Linked DNA regions of Canis lupus familiaris. The protein of the gene in region 1 purifies or fractionates together with the protein of each later gene. This does not show direct contact. Links are inferred from orthologs where the notes say so. Each region holds a gene or a part of one and is shown on either strand. Other genes may lie near its edges.

Region 1 (4,116 bases):
CGGCCCAGAGTCTGCCTCTCCAGCCTTCCTGTCCCCACCACACCCCTGCATGTCCCACAGCAGTCCGACCACTTCCTGCATCGCGCCTTTGCTGGGGCTGGTCCCCTGCCCAACGGACCCGCTTTACCCCCTTCTTCTGCATCTCTCCCCCACGCACCAAGTCCTTCAAAGGCCAGGCAGTTCAGGCTGCTTCCTCTGGGCTCCCTTGACCCGACCCCCAGGTGCCACCTGTGACTAACGCCATGTGGGCACACAGTTGGCACTTACTGTTTGCAGAATGAACTAAGGGCCAGTTCTGACACTGTCTCCCAGGCTCATGGGAGAGTGCTTCCTGTTCAGGCCTAAGCGCATTGTCCTGGTGCCCAGACCTCCCCAGATCCCATAGCCGCATGGCTGGGAAGGCACCATTGTGCCCACTTGACAAACAGGGTGAGGAGGGTTGTGGAAACTTGCTCGAGGTCTTGAAGGTCAGAGTAAGGAGAGCAGGGCTTTGAATCCAGGGCCGTCTGACCTCAGGAAGGCCATCAGGGGCTTTTTCATCTGGGGCTTTTGTCCCTGGAGGATTTTCCACCCTTGAAGGGGGCAGACCTAGTGTTTCCTATCCTCCCTGGGCCCTGAGGCCTCTCAGCCCCAGCTGGCACTTGGGAGTGTTCCTTCCATATCCCATGCCTTAGTTTCCCCGCCTGCAAAGCAAGAAACGACAAGCCAGTGGCAGGCTAATGTAAGCTTGGTGCTTGATGACACCTAATCAAATCCATCTTTCAGGGCCAATTATCTCACCTCATCAGACCTCTGTTTTCTCATCTGCAGAATGGGGACAACTGAGTTCAAGAACTATAAGCTCCACCTGGGCCTCCTTGGCCAGGGCCTGGCCTGGAACGGCTCCTTGGTGGGCTGTTAGGGTGATCATTTTCATCGGCGCTTTGGGGGCTGCCAGATGCGCCCCAGCAGCTGGCCCTTCAGGGGGTGGGATGGGAGGGTGGGGTGCATAGGGAGACCAGCCTGGAGCCTGGGCCCTCCCACTCCCCCCCCCACCCCCCGCAACTCCCCCCCCAGCCCGAGGGCTCCCCACCCAGCGACAAAGCCCGTGGCACTTCCTCTGCGTGCCTGGCAGGCCGCCTGGCCCGGCCCCTTCTCTAAGGAAGCGCATTTCCTGCCTCCCAGGCCGGCCTGGATGAGCCCGGAGCTCCCCACCGCTGCCTGTCAGACCCCCCAGCCTCCAGCTGCATCCCCAGGCCCGGACCTGCCGCTGCCGCCTCCGCCTCCACCGCCCTGCTCATCCTCTGGCCGTGACCCCCGGCCGGCCCGGCGCCCCTGTGCCCACTTCTCCTGACCCCTCCGCCGCCACCTCAGAAGGCTGGAGCGGGGACGCCGTCGCTCCGGCCGCCTGTTCCCCTCGGGTCCCCGCTCGCGCCCACGCCGGCCCCCACACCCACCCGCAGCCCTGCCCCTGGACACCGGATAAGGCCCCGTGCGCAGACCCCCTGGTGGACCGCATGGACCGCACCGCGCTTCCCCTGGTCGTCGCCCTACTCCTGGCCATCTGCAGCCTCAGACATACAGGTAGGTGTCGGGGGACCCTGGGGTGGGGTGGGGGACCCTCGGCCCCATGTGCTCCCGGCATCTCTCCTGGTCCTGACCTCATGCCCAGTGGGGCTGTACTGGGGGGCTTGGACACCAGAGGGGGGTACCCACCATCCCGTCTTGGCTAGATAGAGAACTTTCAGCCCTAAAAGTCTCAAGCATAAAGGGATGAGTTATTTGCCTTAATCCCGGCCTCTGGCCTCTGCCCTACCAGCTAAGTCTAGTTTCTCCCCAGAAAGCCTAGGTCGCAGAGTGTGTGCAGTCGGGGGAGGGCCTCCTGCCCTCTCTGGGCCTTCAGGTTCCCATCTGAGGAACCCGTGGGAAGGAGGGCCTGTGGATTCGCAGTCAGCACTAAGGCTCTTGGTTCAAAACTCACGTGGTTACTTCCTCCTGGTGTGATGTTGGGGGGACTACCTTTGGGCCTCTGAGCTGAGCAGGGATGGCAACGGAACTCCTCTGGGGCAGCTGGGGGGCCGGTGGTGAGGCCATGCTTAGAGAGCGAGCTCCAGAGCGGGCTGGAGGATTCTGTGTTGTTATTGAGGCTTTATGATTCGCTTTAAATTCCTGCCTCTCACCTCCCCAGGGCCCCTGAGCGGCTCCCAGAACATTCTTGAACATAGGGCTCTCCCTCTGTCTCTACTTACTTTCTCTTCCTCAAGATGCTGCAGGGTGGGGACACGGGCCCAGGGCTCTGCAGGGGCTTCTCTGTCTGGGGGCTTTCCCAGGTGGTCATGGTTCTGCGGCCTTCCAAAAGTGACCAGATGAGGGACCATGAGGAGCTGGGGACTCCAGACCTTCATCCCACTCTCATCCCACTCATGCCGGCCTCGCTGTGTCCACTCCGCAGGACAGCCCGGTGGGCACCCTTCATCTATGGCACATCCAGAAACTGTCTAAAGGATCTGGGGGTGGGGAGGAGAGAGTGTAGGGGAAGAGCACAGCAGTGGCCACCCTCCCCACCTGATCCCAACCTGTGGACTTTAAAGCCCCTAGTTCTTGGTCTCTAAACGCCTACCCCTGTCTTACTGATCACAGGAAACTGTCTCAGACATTAAGTGACCGAGCACAGATTTCACCCTAGGCTTGTGGTTCCTAAGCATGTGTAATACGCACCCTCCACCCCCATAGAGCTCCCCGAAACCCGGTAAGATGGCTGCCTTTATCTCCACATTTCACAGGAGAGGAAGTAGAGGCTGTACCTGCCAGGTTCACACAGCTTAGACAGAAGCCTACCTGGGCTCCACGATAGGCCTCCAGGCTGCCCTTTCTCCTGCCTCCCCCACGTGTCTAACTTGATAACACTGTCTTCTTCATCTCATCAGAGAAAGATCTGTGTAGAGCTTTAGGGTCTGGTTCTATGGGATGGAAAGCAATGGTGTGCTGGCAAATAATTAACAACAGGGGTGGAGGGTGTTGGGGATAGTGTTTGTTAATGTCCAGGGTATTAATGTTCTCACATGGCTGATTGCAAGCTACCAACTCACCAACCTTGCAGTTGGGATGCGGTGTCCATAGACCCTTTGGTATCTTTGCCACACAGATGCAACAGACATCTGACCTCAAGAGCATAGGTTTAGAAAAATGGAGCAAAATAGCTAGGAAATAGTGAGTTTTGACATTTATTACCATTTTTAAAATGTAATTTATTTTTAAGCTTGTAAAACTTAAATTATTTTAAAAGATTTTATTTATTCATGAGAAACAGAGAGAGAGGCGGAGACATAGGCAGAGGGAGAAACAGTTTCCCTGCAGTGAGCCTGATGTGGGACTCGATCCCAGGACCTGGGATCACGATCTGAGCCAAAGGCAGATGCTCATCCACTGAGCCACCCAGGGGCCCCTAAAATTTAATTTTTTAAGATTTTATTTTATTTTTTTTAATATTTTACTTATTTATTCATTAGAGACAGAGAGAGACAGAGAGGTGGAGACACAGGCAGAGGGAAAAGTAGGCTCCATGCAGGAGCCCCATGTGGGACTTGATCCTGGGGTTCCAGGACCATGCTCTAGGCCAAAGGCAGGCGCTAAACCGCTGAGCCACCCAGGAATCCCCTAAGATTTTATTTTTAAGTAATCCCTACACCCAATGTGGGGCTCAAACCTACAACCCAGAGATCAAGAGTCATATACTCCACTGACTGAGCCAGCCAGGTGCCCCAAAATTTATTTTTTTTAAAAAGATATTATTTATTTACTTGAGAGAGAGAGAAAGAGGGGCAGAGAGAGAGGGAGAAGCAGACTCCCCTGCTAAGCAGGGAGCCCAACGCAGGGCTCGATCCCAGAACCATAGGATCATGAGCTGAAGGCAAACGCTTAACCTACTGAGCCATCAGGGTGCCCCACAATTTAATTTTTAACAATGGCTGTGTTTATTTTTTTTATTATTTTTATTTTTTTAAAGATTTTTTATTTATTCATAATGATAGATAGATAGATAGATAGAGAGGCAGAGACACAGGCAGAGGGAGAAGCAGGCTCCATGCACCGGGAGCCCGACGCGGGACTCGATCCCAGGACTCCAGGATCGCGCCC
Region 2 (3,647 bases), on another chromosome or scaffold:
ATGTGAACTCCCTGTGTAGGGTCTGAAGACTGGGGCTGCGGAAGGGACACCTGGAGGGACCGGTGCGGGCAGGAAGGGAAGGCTGGGCCGGCCAGGGCCGACGGGAAGGCTGACTGCAGGCTCCTGGGGCGGAGGGAAGCTCTGAAAGCCCCACACAGATTCGTGGCGCATTATAAACACTGTAATCTGGTGTCAGCCCCGGCGCTGATTAAAGGCCCATTAGACACGCTCAGGCCTCTGTGCAGCGCTGATTAGGGCCGGAGCGGCACAGGGGCCGGCCTGGAAGCCCGCCACGGGGAGAACAGCTGGCGGAGGCTCGACTGAGGTTGCGGCTGCGGGGCCACGGCCCCCAGCCTCAGGCCGGGAGCAGGGGGTGCCCGGGGCACCTTCTCTGGGCCTGGCCTCTCCTGCCTGAGCTGTGGGCGGCTCCCCAGGCAGCATTTCGAGAAGGCTCCGCTAAGGGATGGCGAGGGGACGCAGCGAGGCCTGTGCCATCTCTGGGACGGGGTGGCTGTTACATGGACCTGGGTAAAAGTCCCTTTCTCCTCGCGCCACCTCGTCCCCCCAGAGCAGGCCAGCTCCCCTCCCTTCGGCACTGCTCCCAGGTCAAGAATGTGCAGACCATCTGGGCTTAAATCTTAGCTCAGTCACGCGCTACCTGTGTGCTTTTAGACGAGTTTCCTCACCCCTCTGGCCTTAGTTGCATTGTCCATAGAGTGGAGCTGGTAGTGCGACTTACGGGGTTGCTGTGAGGATTTAATGCAGTGCGGCCGGGACAGTGCCTGGCACAGCGTACGTGCCCAGTCCATGTTTTTATCGGGCATCTGTGATAGTTGGGGCCTGGGAGTGGTGCCCAGGCCCGGGGTGGGAGGCAGCGTGGAGAGACCGGAACAGGGTCCGGCTGAGGAATCGACGAGAGGAGTTCAGGCCTTGACTCTGCCTTTCCTGGCTGTGTAACCTTGGGCTCCACTTCCTCGAGCATCAGTTTCTTCATCTGTAAAATAGAGGTTACGGTAATACCCGTGGGGTTGTCGCAAAGACGAACGAGATAAAGCATGAAAGTGTTCATAGCACAATGCCTGGCACCTGGTGAGCGCAAAATCAACAGCCGTAATCCTTATTCTTTGAAAATATATTGATGATGTTATCGTGGCCCGTGTCTTACACGGGTAAGACAACTGGTTTTCTGCACCCTGGGGCAGAAGGTGGGGCAAGGCTCTCCTCGGGATGGAATGGGGTCTTCTTGGGGTGCCGAGTGACTGTCCGTCCCCCCGCCATCCTCAGGCATCGTGGAGGACTACAGGCCACCCTTCTATGACGTGGTGCCCAATGATCCCAGCTTCGAGGACATGAAGAAGGTGGTGTGTGTTGATCAGCAGACTCCCACCATCCCCAACCGGCTGGCCGCAGACCCGGTGAGGCCTCCGCGGGGGCGGGGGCGTGGGGGCCTGGGGATGCCATGGGGTAGGGGCTCACAGCTGGGAGTTCTGGCCCCGGGAACACGTACCTGAGGTCTCTGCTTCACCTGCATGGATTCCGGAGGAGAGATGCCAGGGTACCTCCCTGGGTCCTCCCTCCCACATCCCTGGCCTGCAGAACCCCGAGATTTGGGTTACTCGGAGATATTTCAGAACCTTCTATCTCGTGGTGAAAAGTCAGCCTCTCTGCCGCATTTCTTGCTCTGAACTTGTTGCTGTTTTCGTTATTTTCTCAAAACGCTCCACATGCATATAAGACACATACACACGTGGACGTGGACGCATAAAGGCGGGCACCTGCCTCTGCACGAACACGTCCTCACACAGGCATGCGCATCCATGCCAGACTCTCGGCCCTCTGAAGACGAAGAACGTGTCTCCCTTGCCACCTTATATCCCTGTTATCTGTCCCCGGGCTGGCACACAAATGAGTGCTCAACCAGTGTTTCCGGAAGGAAGGAAAGTACATGTATGTACGTACATGTGCATAGACACACGCGTGTTTCTGTACAACATGCTTATCCATAAACAGCCCCATATATGCGCTGCTAGGCACACACACGTACACTCAGGCCAGCTTGAGTTTTGGGATGGAGGAGAGGCTGGCTCACTCTGGGGCCACTGAGCTTCCTGGGATGGCTTCGTCCTGGACACTCCTCCAGGGGGCCCAGGCGGGGCTGGAGGAGGCGCTGGGAGAGTCCGTGCCCTCCACGCCGGGCCGAGAGCAGAGGGGAGCCCCCGGGCTTGCACATCTCCCAATCCTCGGATCTTGGGGGAGGTGGGTGGGGTGGGTGTAAGGTGTTCCACAGACACTCCTCACCAAAGGGGGCCTGGGTGCGCCCGAAGAGCTGAGTTCCAGCTCTCCTCCTGCCCTGCCTGCTGCCTTCCCCCGTCCCCACTGCCTTCATCTTCCATCTTTGGGTCTCTCCTCTCATCCTTGCCTCCATTCCCCCCCTCACCTCGCAGGCTTTCCTCTTCCCATCCTCAACACTCCCATCTCCCTCTTCCCGCCCTTTCTGTCCTGCTTATGTCTCTCTGTCCCGGGGCACCCTCCGTGTCACCGCCTGCTCAGCTTCCCTGACCCGCGTCTCCGCTTCCTCTCCTCTGCAGGTCCTCTCCGGCCTGGCTCAGATGATGCGGGAGTGCTGGTACCCCAACCCCTCTGCCCGCCTCACTGCGCTGCGGATCAAGAAGACACTACAGAAACTGAGCAACGGTCTCGAGAAGTCCAAAGTGATTCACTAGCCCCAGGCCTGAAGCCGGACTCCCCTCTGCCTGCAGAGCGCGCGTGGGGTGGGCGGCAGACGTGGCCTATCTGGGTAGAGGTAGTGTGAGTATGTGTGCTGGGGAGGAGGGTGCCCCTCTTTGGGCGGCCCTGCCTGCCCCGCCGGCTCATCCAGCCAAAAATACAGCTGGGCTGAAACCCGATCCCCCGCCGTCTGGCCTGCTCAAAGCAGCAGGCTCCCTGACGCCTGGCTCCCTCCCCACCCTCATGCCCTGGGCGCAGCCCCTACCACCCCCAGGACAGGATGCAAAGAGGCCCCGGAGCCAGGGTGGCCGGGCCAGGGAATCCCAGTCCTGGGCCCAGAGCCCAGGCCTGCACTTTACCCCCTGCCCTCGGTCAACCTCACGGCCCCACCGGAGCTGCCAGGGTGACACAGGGCCCTGTCTAGCCTTTGGTGGACAGCCTGCCTCTGGCATAAGCCCTACACCCAGGGCCCATCATTTTCTCTCTGTGGGTTTGTATCTCAGCTCCATGAGGCCTACGGCCTCTGTCTTCTGGGTGAGCTGAGTGCCAGCTGCCTGGGAGAGCTGGGGCCTGATCCTGGGCCCCTTCCCCACCCCTGTGCTAGCTCACTTATTACAGCATTAAGCCCAAGGAGTCCTGCTGCAGGTGTGGCAGGGTCAGAGGGCAGTGGGGCAGGTAGTAGGTCAGATGGAGGAGGCCCAGGACTTTCAGAACCAGAGAGACGTTGAAGCCGAGCAGACCTGGGGAATGGCTCCGCTGGGAGTCAGGAGACCCAGGTCCTGGTCCTGGGCAATTGCCCTAGGTGATGAGAAAGAGGCCTTCACTCTGGAGGACCTTTGTTTCCTCATCTACATATTGAGATACAGTCCTGATGCCCTTTGAGGTTTTTTTCAGCTCTAATTGTCTTTGAAATTTCAGCC
Region 3 (3,647 bases), on another chromosome or scaffold:
AACTTTTGATATAATGATTCATTTGAGGTTGTTTAGTAATTGTCCAGGTATTATGGGCTGAAATGCTTTGACACTGGGATAGGAGAAGAGGCTTTGAACCTAAAGGGGAGAATTGTGATTGCTATCACTTTTTAAGCAATTGCATTTACTTTTTGTTTCTTTAGGGAAACCAGCCATTGCTCATAGAGATTTGAAATCTAAGAATATCTTGGTAAAGAAGAATGGAACTTGCTGTATTGCAGACTTAGGACTGGCAGTGAGACATGATTCAGCCACAGATACCATTGATATTGCTCCAAATCACAGAGTGGGAACAAAAAGGTATGCTTGTAAATAGTGTTTATTATCTTCTGAGCTCAACTTCTTTTTAATTTCCTTCTCATTTATGTGGATTATCTTCTGAAACTCAAACCTGTACTTTATTAGATTGCCCACAGGTAGAAGATCTCATGGTCTTGCCTGCTCTGAAGCCAAGGTTACCTGACTTTTAAAGATGCCTGCTGATGAAAGGTGGCCCTTCCAGAAAATATCATTCGTGGCCCTTCCAGAAAAATTATAATAATAATAGGAGCTGATGTTTATAGGGTACCCAGTATGTGCCAGTCATTTTAATGGGTCATACATATATATATGCTTGGTTCTTGCTTAATATATATATATATATATATATATATTCATTCTCTCAGTTAATGCTCTCTTCAAATGCTGTACTGTAGCTAGCCCAACTATTTTCTTATTTTTAGTTCCTGGAACTATACTTTCTTCCTTAGAATTTCTGCATGTGTTGTATCCTAGAGCAGACTTTGTCCTGCTGTTTCCCTGGTTTATTTTTTTTATTTTTTTATTTTTTTTTGCTGCAAAAAGCTTTATTGTCTTGTTTCCCTGATTTATAGTCACCCTTCCTTTCCTAGAGGAAGCCCTTCCTGGACTGTGAGGCGCCCTTCCCAGGGGCTCTCATAGCAAGCTGTGAAGCTGGGCCATTAAGGCACTGAGCACATTATAACTCTCCATTTACTTGTCTTTATATTCCATTGGATTGCAAGCTGCTTGAGATCAGGCTTGTATTCCCAGCATCCATTATAGCACCTAATGCATAGTAAGTCCTTAGTAAATATTTGTTGAATCTATGAGTTTTCTAAAGAACATAACTAGGTAGGTGTCATTGCCTTCATTTCACAGAAGAGGAAACAGCCCCATAGATGTTAAATAAAAAGGTCAGCCTCACCTGAAGAGCTGAGATTTGAATTTAGGCCTTTCTGACCCCAAAGGCCTTAGTGTGTATATCACAGCATGTTGCCACAATGTATCTTCACACTATTGCCTCCACCTTGGATAGAGCCAAGCTTTATTCTATCTCAGTTGTATCTGTGATTTCTGGATTTGACGAGGACTCTCAGAACTCTTGATGTGGGGATTCAAGACAGTGATTGCTACAGTTCTTCATGGATCCTGATCTGTAACTTCAGGAGGGTTTTTAAAATTCCAAAACCCTACAATGAGGCATCAGTAGGAGGACTGGCATTCATTTTTTAATCTATTATTTTGTTCCCTGGATTATGTCCTCATCCTTCCTTTTCATCCTATTTTAGTGAGAAGACTTCTAGATTAAAATATATGATCCCTGCATAGTATTTGACAAAGTGGGTGGTATATGTTAAGACATTTATAATAGTCATGATTGTTATATAGGTGTCTTTCATTGGAAATGAAGATCATAAGGCAGATAAGATAGCATGAAATTGCTGTTTCAGCTTTTCATGGCATTTAGTTGACATCATTAATTTTCAAAGCAGTGTGGATATTTAATATTTTTCTTGAGTCTAATATTTTAGTTATATAATATTGTGTGTGTGTGTGTGTGTGTGTGTGTGTGTGTGTGTATCTCCATATATGAATAGAGATACCTGAAAGGTTGTTCATCAAAGCATTAATGATTTTTCACTTTGTACTTTTTGAACTTTGAGAAAATTTCTATAAGAAGCATGAGTCATTTTAAAAAGCAGAACCATGCTAAAAGGGAAGAAAAGTCTTAAAGTTAATACCAATTTAAAAAATATATATAAAAAAAATTCTCAGTAGGAAAAGAAAATATGTGAAACAGTTCAAAAGTAGTATGGCTACTATTCCATAAAGTAAATTGCTGACTTCTTTTTTAGGTATATGGCCCCCGAAGTTCTAGATGATTCCATAAATATGAAACACTTTGAATCCTTCAAACGTGCCGACATCTATGCAATGGGCTTAGTATTCTGGGAAATAGCTCGACGATGTTCCATTGGTGGTAAATTTCTCCCCCTCTCCCAACAGTTTGTCATGAACAGAAAAGGTGGTCCAGGATAGCCGCTTTTTTTTTTTTTCTTTAAGATTTTTTTTTTTTAAGATTTTATTTTTTTATTCATGAGAGACACACACACACACACACACACACACACACACACACACAGAGGCAGAGACACAGGCAGAGGGAGAAGCAGGCTCCACGCAGAAGCCCGACATGGGACTCCATCCTGGGACTCCAGGATCACGCTCTGGGCCAAAGGCAGGCACTAAGCCACTGAACCACCCAGGGATTCCCTTTACGATTTTTATTTATTTATTTGACACTGAGAGATGGTGGTAGAGAGCAATCACAAGCAGGATGAGTGGGAGAAGGAGAAGACTCCTCACTGATCAGGGAGCCCAATGCGGGGTTCAATGCCAGGACCCTGGGATCATGACTGGAGCCGAAGGCAGATGCTTAACTGACTGAGCCACCCAGGCACCCCTGTCGTGTTTTTGTTTGTTTGTTTGTTTGGTTTTTTTCATTGAATGAAATTATACACATTAGTAGTCAGAAATTATATTCACCAGGTGATCACTGAGAGTGCCAAAGAAAATAATGGAGATAAAATTTGCAGTGGGGGGAAATGACATGATATGACATGCTTATTCTAGTGTATTCTTTTTCTATTTCCATTTGAATCTTGGGAAACATGAGAAACCAAGCCCTTGTTATCTTGGAATATAGTTATTTATAATGGATGACTGCTTGAGAGGCCACCCAGGAAGCTGTTTCTACAGCATGTACCTGGGTCAAACTCATTTTCCCCCCTGAGAGTGTGTTATTTTCTCCAACTTCTTAGCTGGAAGTTACATATACAGAATACAGTTACATTACCATTACACTAGTTTTTAAACAAGTTTATTTTAGCTGAAATTTAGTTTTAGATTGAGCACTTTTAATATTTACTTGCGGAATAGTTTCTTATACTTAGGGGCCCAGGCTTGGTTGAGACTTGGGTTTATGTGGCAATAAGAGGGAGAGCATGTCTCTGTATTATATAGCAAAGAGGACAGATCCAAGTAGAGGTAAAGGACTTGCACCCCAGATTTGCTTGTAGGATTTACATCTCCATGGTAGAGTGTATATCCCCTGTACCAAGTGAGAGGGTGAGCACTCACAGGTTAAAAACTATCATTTCTTGCACATGAGGTGAAAATGTTAATCAAGTCATCATAGCTCATAGTTAACCGTCATTAAAATAGCCTTTGCTGATCCCCTAGTGATATGTAGTTTCAGAGTGTGGGCCCAGTACCAACTCAGAGAGATGGGTTGTTGATGCTTGTTGATGCAGATGTGGATGAGATAGAGCAAGCTAGAAGCCCTG

What was found.
Region 2: the proteins of ENG (region 1) and ACVRL1 purify together in Homo sapiens (affinity purification with western blotting; 3 studies listed by BioGRID and IntAct, with this or other methods). This does not show direct contact. The link is inferred for Canis lupus familiaris from reciprocal best matches to the Homo sapiens genes ENG and ACVRL1.
Region 3: the proteins of ENG (region 1) and TGFBR1 purify together in Homo sapiens (affinity purification with western blotting; 5 studies listed by BioGRID and IntAct, with this or other methods). This does not show direct contact. The link is inferred for Canis lupus familiaris from reciprocal best matches to the Homo sapiens genes ENG and TGFBR1.

Annotation. Positions count from the first base shown.
Region 1 is NC_049230.1:55,645,135-55,649,250, forward strand, and holds the start of ENG (endoglin), read left to right. Parts: upstream 1-1,219; 5' UTR 1,220-1,496; coding exon 1,497-1,563; intron 1,564-4,116. UniProt on the Homo sapiens protein: Vascular endothelium glycoprotein that plays an important role in the regulation of angiogenesis. Required for normal structure and integrity of adult vasculature. Regulates the migration of vascular endothelial cells.
Region 2 is NC_049248.1:43,574,639-43,578,285, forward strand, and holds part of ACVRL1 (serine/threonine-protein kinase receptor R3), read left to right. Parts: intron 1-735; exon of another isoform or gene 736-994; intron 995-1,284; coding exon 1,285-1,415; intron 1,416-2,588; coding exon 2,589-2,723; 3' UTR 2,724-3,647. UniProt on the Homo sapiens protein: Type I receptor for TGF-beta family ligands BMP9/GDF2 and BMP10 and important regulator of normal blood vessel development. On ligand binding, forms a receptor complex consisting of two type II and two type I transmembrane serine/threonine kinases.
Region 3 is NC_049232.1:56,544,924-56,548,570, forward strand, and holds part of TGFBR1 (TGF-beta receptor type-1), read left to right. Parts: intron 1-164; coding exon 165-321; intron 322-2,156; coding exon 2,157-2,281; intron 2,282-3,647. UniProt on the Homo sapiens protein: Transmembrane serine/threonine kinase forming with the TGF-beta type II serine/threonine kinase receptor, TGFBR2, the non-promiscuous receptor for the TGF-beta cytokines TGFB1, TGFB2 and TGFB3.